Rattus norvegicus: one gene and its partner. The protein of the gene in region 1 purifies or fractionates together with the protein of each later gene. This does not show direct contact. Links are inferred from orthologs where the notes say so. Each region holds a gene or a part of one and is shown in the gene's direction. Other genes may lie near its edges. The genes, in order: Stradb and Cab39.

The links.
Region 2: the proteins of Stradb (region 1) and Cab39 purify together in Homo sapiens (affinity purification with mass spectrometry; 3 studies listed by BioGRID and IntAct, counting the BioPlex papers as one, with this or other methods). This does not show direct contact. The link is inferred for Rattus norvegicus from reciprocal best matches to the Homo sapiens genes STRADB and CAB39.

What each region holds. Positions count from the first base shown.
Region 1 is NC_086027.1:67,906,919-67,911,263, forward strand, and holds the start of Stradb (STE20-related kinase adapter protein beta), read left to right. Parts: upstream 1-1,403; 5' UTR 1,404-1,674; intron 1,675-1,943; exon of another isoform or gene 1,944-2,868; intron 2,869-4,345. UniProt on the Homo sapiens protein: Pseudokinase which, in complex with CAB39/MO25 (CAB39/MO25alpha or CAB39L/MO25beta), binds to and activates STK11/LKB1.
Region 2 is NC_086027.1:93,955,897-93,959,710, forward strand, and holds part of Cab39 (calcium-binding protein 39), read left to right. Parts: intron 1-1,172; coding exon 1,173-1,291; intron 1,292-1,910; exon of another isoform or gene 1,911-2,055; intron 2,056-2,276; exon of another isoform or gene 2,277-3,814. UniProt on the Homo sapiens protein: Component of a complex that binds and activates STK11/LKB1. In the complex, required to stabilize the interaction between CAB39/MO25 (CAB39/MO25alpha or CAB39L/MO25beta) and STK11/LKB1.

The sequences.
Region 1 (4,345 bases):
AAACCTCGACTTGTTATATAAAGGCTTCCGAGTCTCACATTCTGAGCAACTGATGAGCAATGTACGTGATTAAATGAACATGTACATCACATAAGTAAAAATGGGATGATTAAAAAGAGTCTTTCACATAGGTATGTATGTATGTCTGAGACTTGCCACATACTACTTAGTTTTAAAAATAGAAAGCCAGATAGTTGCTGAGATGATACGGTATCTTTAATTTTGCCCTTCCCCACCACCAAATGTCCTTCACAATGTGTTTTCAAGTGTCATGTCATCGCCATTAATATGCTATTTGGAGCTCACTGTAGCTCAGACTTTTAATAGGGCAGCAAAGATTTGAAAGGTCACAAACATTTTTACTAAGATAGAGCAAGAACTCTGATTCCAGCTCATTTTCTTCTGTGGCCCATGTAAGCCAGGTGAATTTACAACGAAAAATTACCATCTTTCCTGATGCAGAAAAAGATGCATAAGCAGGTAACTGACTTTACTGCCATAATTGTGATTTTTTTTTTTTTTAAGGGTTTGGGACTCAAACGTGCTGGCACTGGAAAGCACGCCTGCCAATATTCACTCTTTTTTCACTTCAACCTAAAGTCTGTCTTTCTGTCTTTCTTTCTTTCTTTCTGTCTTTCTTTTTTTCCTTTAAAAGACAAGTGGCGTCTGGTTCCAGATCAATTGCAAAGAAAAGCCCAATAAAGAAAGAGCTCTTTCTAGTGTCCTCTCCTCCCATTTGCATCACAGATGGCCACCGAGAGCTTAAGGTTTAACGTCCAGACACTAAAGCCACTCATCCTAAAACGACAGAGCTCCAGATGGACGTTGTCTGGCAAAGAATGAGATGCTGCCAATCTTTAGAGGTGCAGATAGGGTGACTCCCGGAGGCTTGAGCCCTGCTCCCATCGCTTTGCACCTACACTTGGGAAACATCCCTTTCCCATCTCGGAGCGGGACCCTCCCGTGAGTGACCTCTGGGGACCAGAGAGACGCGGGACAGAAAAGCTTCTCTGCCTTCGGGAGAAGTTGACAAGGGCAAGTTCGAATCGCACGCGGGAGCTTACTCACGGGAATGGCCCGGCGTCCTCGCTCCAACGCCCGCACTCGCTCAGAAAGAAGCCCCTAATGCTGCGGCAGCCTGAGAGCAGCAGCTGAAGCTACCACTGCTGCAGCTAACCCCCGGGCGTGGCAGGAACTGGTAGGCGCCCTCACATCATCACAGGGCGACCTTGGAGCTGCAGTGACGCCGGTTCAATGGCAGCCCCCACCCAGCTAGGGAAGCTAAAAGGAGACCCATTCTCCCAACAGCCTCTGCGGCCCTAGCGCACAGCCCTCTGGGAACTGTAGTTTCCTTTCCGTCCCGCCTACAGCTGGAGGGCTCCGCCTCCTCACTACCGAGCTAGAAGCTGGAGGCGCGGTGGGGCGGAGCGGCGGGTCCCGACCCCGCTGGGGTGGGGCGAATCCCGTCCCAGCCGGTTGCCCCGGACTAGGGCAGAGGTCCAGGCCGACAGGCCTTCTGCGGCGGTGCTGCACTTCTGTGCCTTGAGGCTCGCCCTGGAAGCAGGCCTAGTGTTCTCGCCTCGCCGCTCCGCGAGGCAGGTCCCGGGTCTCGCGCGTGTCGCCTCCCCCCAGCGCCCGCCGCCTGGAGAGTCGCTGGCCTTGATCGCTGCCTAGGTAATGAAGGGAGGCAGGCGGGCAGGGGCTGGTGCGGAGATCCCGGGGAGCGACCGGGATCGCAGTTGGGTGGGTGCACGGCGAAAAGGCCAATCCTCGCCGCCGCTCCTCACCGGAGTTGACACGGCCGGCCGAGCACTGGCAGGAGTCTGCGGGAATCCCACTCCCGCTGTGCGTGCCAGCGCACCGGGGCCGAGGCTCCCGGGTGCCCAGCGGCTGTGCCAGGTGCAGGAGCCCAGCCACAGCCGTCCTGCTCCCCCAGCTCTTACCTTTGGTGGCACACACAGGCCTGGCGACTTCCCAAGCCGAAGACACTCTCTGTCACCAGCCCTGTCTGCTCGGAGACTTCGAAGGGACTAAATTAATTGTCTAGGCGTCGTTTTGTCTTCAGTGTTTACATTTGATGTCGTGTTTTCCCCTCGTGGGTTTGTTTTGTCAAATACCTTTCCTCCAAATTTGATCACAATTTGTGACAGCATCTACATAACACAGTGCTTGGCACTCTGTAAATATTTGTTGAAACCATGAGTCATGATACTAAGTTTGGAAAATTGTATTGAGCTGTGTGCATCGCTATGATCTTTGTTCAGGTTTTATGAGATTTCAAGATCACCTTGAGAATTATCGTAATTTTGAAACCTAACAAAGTATTGGTAGGTTTTTTTGTTTTTGTTTTCGTTTTTGTTAGCATTTCCTGTAACACTAGACCATTGAATACCTAGATTAACTCAAAACCCAAGCCCGTTTGGTGTCCCTTTAAAGTGTTAGCCTTTCAAATGAAAAGGCTTTGGGCATGACTTCTATATTATGCAACAAATTAGATTATAAATAAAGCTTTTTGTGGTTAGCTTTTTAGGTACAATTGCAAGGGCTACACTGAGACTGAGGCACTTACCAGTAGGTTTAGGAATACAGTCTTCAGGGGTTGGGGATTTAGCTCAGTGGTAGAGCGCTTGCCTAACAAGCACAAGGTCCTGGGTTCGGTCCCCAGCTCCAAAAAATAGGAAAGAAAAAAAAAAAAGGAATACAGTCTTCATATATATACACATTTATGAATACATACATATACACACATATTTTAAAGATGGGGTCTCACTATGTTGGTATCCTAGCTGGCTTAGAACTTACAAAGATCAGTGTGCTTCTGTCTCTGCCTCCTGAATGGTGGAATTAAAGGCATGCTCCACCAAGCCTCAGCAAGCTTTTTTTATTTTTTTAATTTATTTTTAAAGATTTATATAATCTTAGCATAATAGCAAAACCTAGGAGCAAATCTTTATTCAACTCCTTTGCCAGGTACAACTGCTGCCTTGATCTCAAATGTCTTGAGAAATTACCTGTTAATAGTGTGGTATACCGAAGGTAAAACTTCTGGGATTAAACCTACCCACTGGTGATAACAGCCCTAGGAGACTGTGACCTGATTTTTTTTTTTTTCAAATTGGTTTATTGTTTAAAACAACACACTCAATAACAACTTGCTGGTGCAGAATCTCGGTAACCACAAAAATTAAGTTAATCACCAGACCTTTCTGCCTCAGGTAGTCAGCCCCAGGAAGTTGGGCCTGGGGTTAATTACATGTGTGTGTTGGCAGGTTGGGGGTGGGTGCTGGGGGGGTGTCTTCTGAGCTCACCAGCAAGCCTATCCCATAGTGGCTATTCATTAACTGTGTTAATACAAACTTTCCCTGTGTGGTTTCTTTCCTTATTTGGGTATCACCTTAGAATAGATTAATAAAAGTGAGCTTTTACTGGGTCAAAAGCTGTGGATATTTTCACTGTTATTCAGAAGTCCCCAGCTTGCTTTTCCTATGAGCCTCAATATTTTATCTTAAAGTGTTTCACTTGTCTTGTTGTTGTTGTTTTTTGTTTGTTGAGACAGTTCCCTTATGTATCCGTGGCTGTCATGGAATTAGCTCTGTAGACCAGGCTAGCCTTGAATTCTGCCTCCCGAGTTCTGGGATTAAAGGCATGTGCTACCACCGCCCCACTGCACTTGTCTTTTATATCCTAGAGTGTATATAAAATGTCATACACTCCTTTGACCTCAGTCGCCCTGGAGGATAGGCAGCATTGGCATTTCTTTCCTCATCTCATAACCAGACCACCAAGCCCCATGCCTTAAGTTGTCCTTAATTCTTGGCAGGTGACAAGAGTAAATTTTCCAGTTCTTTTCCTTCTTCTACCTTTGGCTTATAGAGATTGTCCTGAGAAAATCTACTTCTTCCTTCAAGCAAGAAAACTGGGTAGTACTTTATAACATCCATGGTCTATAAATCTTCCTTTCCTCATTGCGTTTAGCTATGAGTGAATGCCTAGATCAAGTGTGTGCCGACTCAGATGAAGCAGTGAAGCCAGTTTGAGTGTTGGTGTGAAGGAGGAGACAAACACCACTAGTAAATACTTCCCCCTCCATTGAAAAAGACCCAGAAGATTTGGGTGCTTGGTCTGTAACTCCGTGAAGCTGAAGAAGTTACCATGCTAAAATTCTGAATCTATCAATGAAAATGGATGAGTTGTTTGCATAATAAAATGCATAACTTGTGTCTGTCAATAGTTGAGAATGTAAGTTTTACGTGAAAACTACGAAGTGTCTTTCTTAAATGTGTGGTAACAAGAGTTTGTTCATTTTAGCCCATTACAAACCCTGTTTCAGATCTGTGAATCCTGA
Region 2 (3,814 bases), about 26 Mb from region 1:
GAAGCATATACCCCAAGTTCTCTATTTACATGGTCATAAGTAACTTCATGAATATGCTCTAAGTCTCATTCATGTTCGTCTGCCTGAGCAGTTAGATATTATCTGTGGGTTTTGGTGGAGAGAGGTGTGATAGAGTTAGAAGAAGGGATGGCTACTTCAATAATTCTTAAAGGAAAATAAACATTTTTGGCTTGTTATAAAGAAGATAGAACAAGATATTTCCATTTATACAGCTGATTTTGTGTGTTTTTAATAGTGTGTCAAATTCTAATGGTTTGTTTCTCTGTTAACTTGAAAGGTGCATTTGGGATATATCTGATCCTTCTCTGTCTCCACCTATTTTGTTTTCTCAACTGAACACTGAATTTAATATTCATCTGAAACTTTAGAGGCATTGGTTTTTTAAGTGTGTGCCATGAGACTGATTTGTAGACATTACCATTACTGCACCTGAGCCAGCACAAGCCCCAGGATGATTTGTCTGTGGGCTCCAGTGCTCTCCGGGCTTTGTCAGCCTTGTGATAGTATCTATTCTGAAACATCTCTTGGGGGCCTGTTGTCTATTATTAATTTCTTGGGCAGCTTTCTGAGTGTTGAGGTTCACTGGTGATTTGTCTGTACTGTGTGTAAAGCTCTCATCTCTGAACTACTGTAATACTACTACTGTAGTCCTTAGTGCTTTATATTTAATATATATTTAAGTCTTTCCTAGCCAAGTGAGTTCATAGAGGAGTTTATCTACTTGCCAGAAATCCTCTAATGTCATTACACTGAGAGTACAATCTCCTCCCTTTCCGCTCTGTAAAAGTGTGTACACTGTAGTGTTCACAACAGAAGTATCCACTTGCGTAAGGTTCCTATCCCTGTAGATTGTAAGTATGCTTCCAACATCTGTTTTCCGTAACTGAGTCAGCATGCTTCTGAGAGTTAGAGGTGGTTAATAATGAGATTTCGTTTTGTTGATAAAATTGTTTTAAAATTGTACACTATTAAATCTAAGAAATTGTGATTATAAAATTAGATAAAATTAGAAGTTTAATGTCTACAAATGTTGCAAAGTCAGATATCCAGTCATAACTAATACACAATGGCTCTTTGACTTTATATTGAAGGGTGGATGGACATTTTCATATTTAGACAGGTAAATATTTTAATGATTGTATTCCTAATAGGGCAAAAAAGACGTGGCTCAAATTTTCAACAATATTCTCAGAAGACAAATTGGTACAAGAACTCCTACTGTTGAATACATCTGCACCCAACAGAATATTTTGTTCATGTTATTGAAAGGGTATGTACAATGTGATAAAGTTTATATTCTTAGTTGAAAAGAAAAAGAAAAATTGTTTGGGTGGGGAAGGATAACCAGATTGGTACATGGGAAGATATTCTCTGTAGTTTTAGCTCACTTTTGTGTAGCTCTTGCATATACTGCCCTCTTAACGTCTTAGCCTGGAAGCTAAACTAACACAAAACGCCCTGCAGATGCAAGCTGGAAACCGGGTGGATTGTGAGAGCCTTTAAGTTCACTAATCACATGCAACTGAAGGGAAGAAATAGAGCCAGAGAGGCCTAATGTCAGTTCTGTAATAGCAAAATCATTGAGATCCCAGGCTAATTGGGTCCAAAGAGGCTTCCTCTGCACCTCATCTCCCCTCCCCTCCCCTCCGCTCCCCTCCCCTCCCCTCCGCTCCCCTCCCCTCCCCTCCCCTCACCTCACCTCACCTCACCTCCCTTCCCCTCCCCTCACCTCACCTTACCTCACCTCCCCTCACCTCACCTCCCCTCTCCTCACCTCCCCTCACCTCACCTCACCTCTCCTCACCTCCCCTCACCTCCCCTCACCTCCCCTCCCCTCACCCCACCTCTCCTCACCTCCCCTCACCTCACCTCACCTCACCTCACCTCACCTCAGCCCTCACACAGCAGTGAGAGCCTCCTTGTGGGGCATGCATGCTTCTCACCCTCGTTCAGCAAAGCATGTGCTGCTGGTCACTACACATCTTCCTGGAGTTACTTCTAGACTAAGCAGGTGTTTATGATTTGGGTAGTTGTCTGTTTCAGAAACAAAATCAAAACTTAGATCTAAATTAACAAAAGTGAAAAGACCCTCTTCTTTCTCAGCACTGAGCCAACCCAGCTGGCAAGGTAGTCGGTCAGTCACCTCCACACTACTGCTGCTTGGCACTTCTTGATATCATCCCAGCGTGTTTGCCCACTGCAGTGACCGCTGGTATGAACTACCTTGCTCCCCTACCGCCAGCTTCATACATTACCTCATTTGGATTTGTATCTCTGTGGTTTAACACTTTGGCTCCAAGTTCAGACTTGTTTAGACAAAGCATGAGCCCGTAACATGGCAGCATCCTGCTTCCTCCTCTCCATTCCTACCCATCCGTGATGCTTCTTCACCTGTTGCTGTACAGAACTTTTGTTGTGTCAGTCCAGTGTCCCTGTGGAAACATGCCATGTGAATAGTCTGGATTTTGAGTGTTCTTAGAACAGTGTGATACAGACCAGAATTCCCTTTGCTATAGAAACCAAAGGTCTATTGAAGTCTAAAAATAACTAACACTTCCATTTCATGGCAGCTTTGATGTAAATATTTTTTTAGATGATGCATAAAATTAAAAAAAAAACGTTAAGATAGGGTCTCATTATGTAACTCTTGCTGGTCTTGAACTCAAAAGATCCACTACACTTCATTTCTGAATGATAGTATTAGAAGCATGTGCTGTCACTGGAAGCTGAAATAAGTAAGATTTTTGAGAAATAAAGTATAAACTCTGACCTGGTCAGAGCAGAATCCTCAGCCAAGGGGATAAGAAGGAAAAGCCCAAGAATGAAGCTTGGCTTGGGGATGCACTACCCTCCTCCCACCACACTTGGTTGGGAAACTGAACATTTGACCATAAAAAAAGACAGCAAGCCTTCCCTAGCCACAACCCCACTTCAGTCATTGGCCCCGCGCCTTCCTGCCCTCCGAGGCCCTTCTGTCTCCTCACACACAGCTCGGCTCCTCTGCATCTGCACCGCATGTGTGATGCAGGCCATTTCACAGCCTCGGCACTTCTACACACTTTGTACAGTCCAGTGCCCAGCTTTTGTATTTCCTTGATTTTAACAAAATGATTTTGTTTAAAATGGACTTTTCTGCAAACTGAATTTCATAGATAAATCTCTTGCTTTGTACTATTCTATAATAGCTAATCTGCCCACTTTAAAAAAGAAAAAAAAAAAGCTCTAGCTGGGCATGGTGGATCTCCATGAGTTCAATGCCAGCTGGGGCTGCATAGCAAGTCTCTGTCTCAAGTAAATAGACAGGGATGGATGGATGGATGGATGGATGGATGGATGGATGGATGGATGGATGGATGGATGAATGAATGAATCAGTTTACTGATTCTGGTATTGCTTCTTCTAATTAAACATTTTCTTCCATAAAATAGAACTCTCCACAGTGGTGATTTCAAAATCCCAGATACAGTCTGTGGGGAAAGCCAGTGCCGTTATTTTAATGCATGGGTGGTCTAGCTGCTGACTTGAATAAGCCTTGAATATATTGTTTAACATTGTTATTAACTCAAAATAGATATTAGATGTTGCATTATTTTTCCTGTTGCTAAACTAAAGTAGTAAAAGCAACTTAAAGAAGAAAGGGTTAACTTTGTGGTCACAGTTGGAGGGTCTGGGAGGATGTCCTGGTGGAAGGAGAGGACATCAGGAAGCAGAGTGCTCAGCTCACTTTTCCTTTTTATTTAGGTCTAGCCCATGGTATGGTGTTGTCCATAGTTAAGGCAATGGACAACACCTT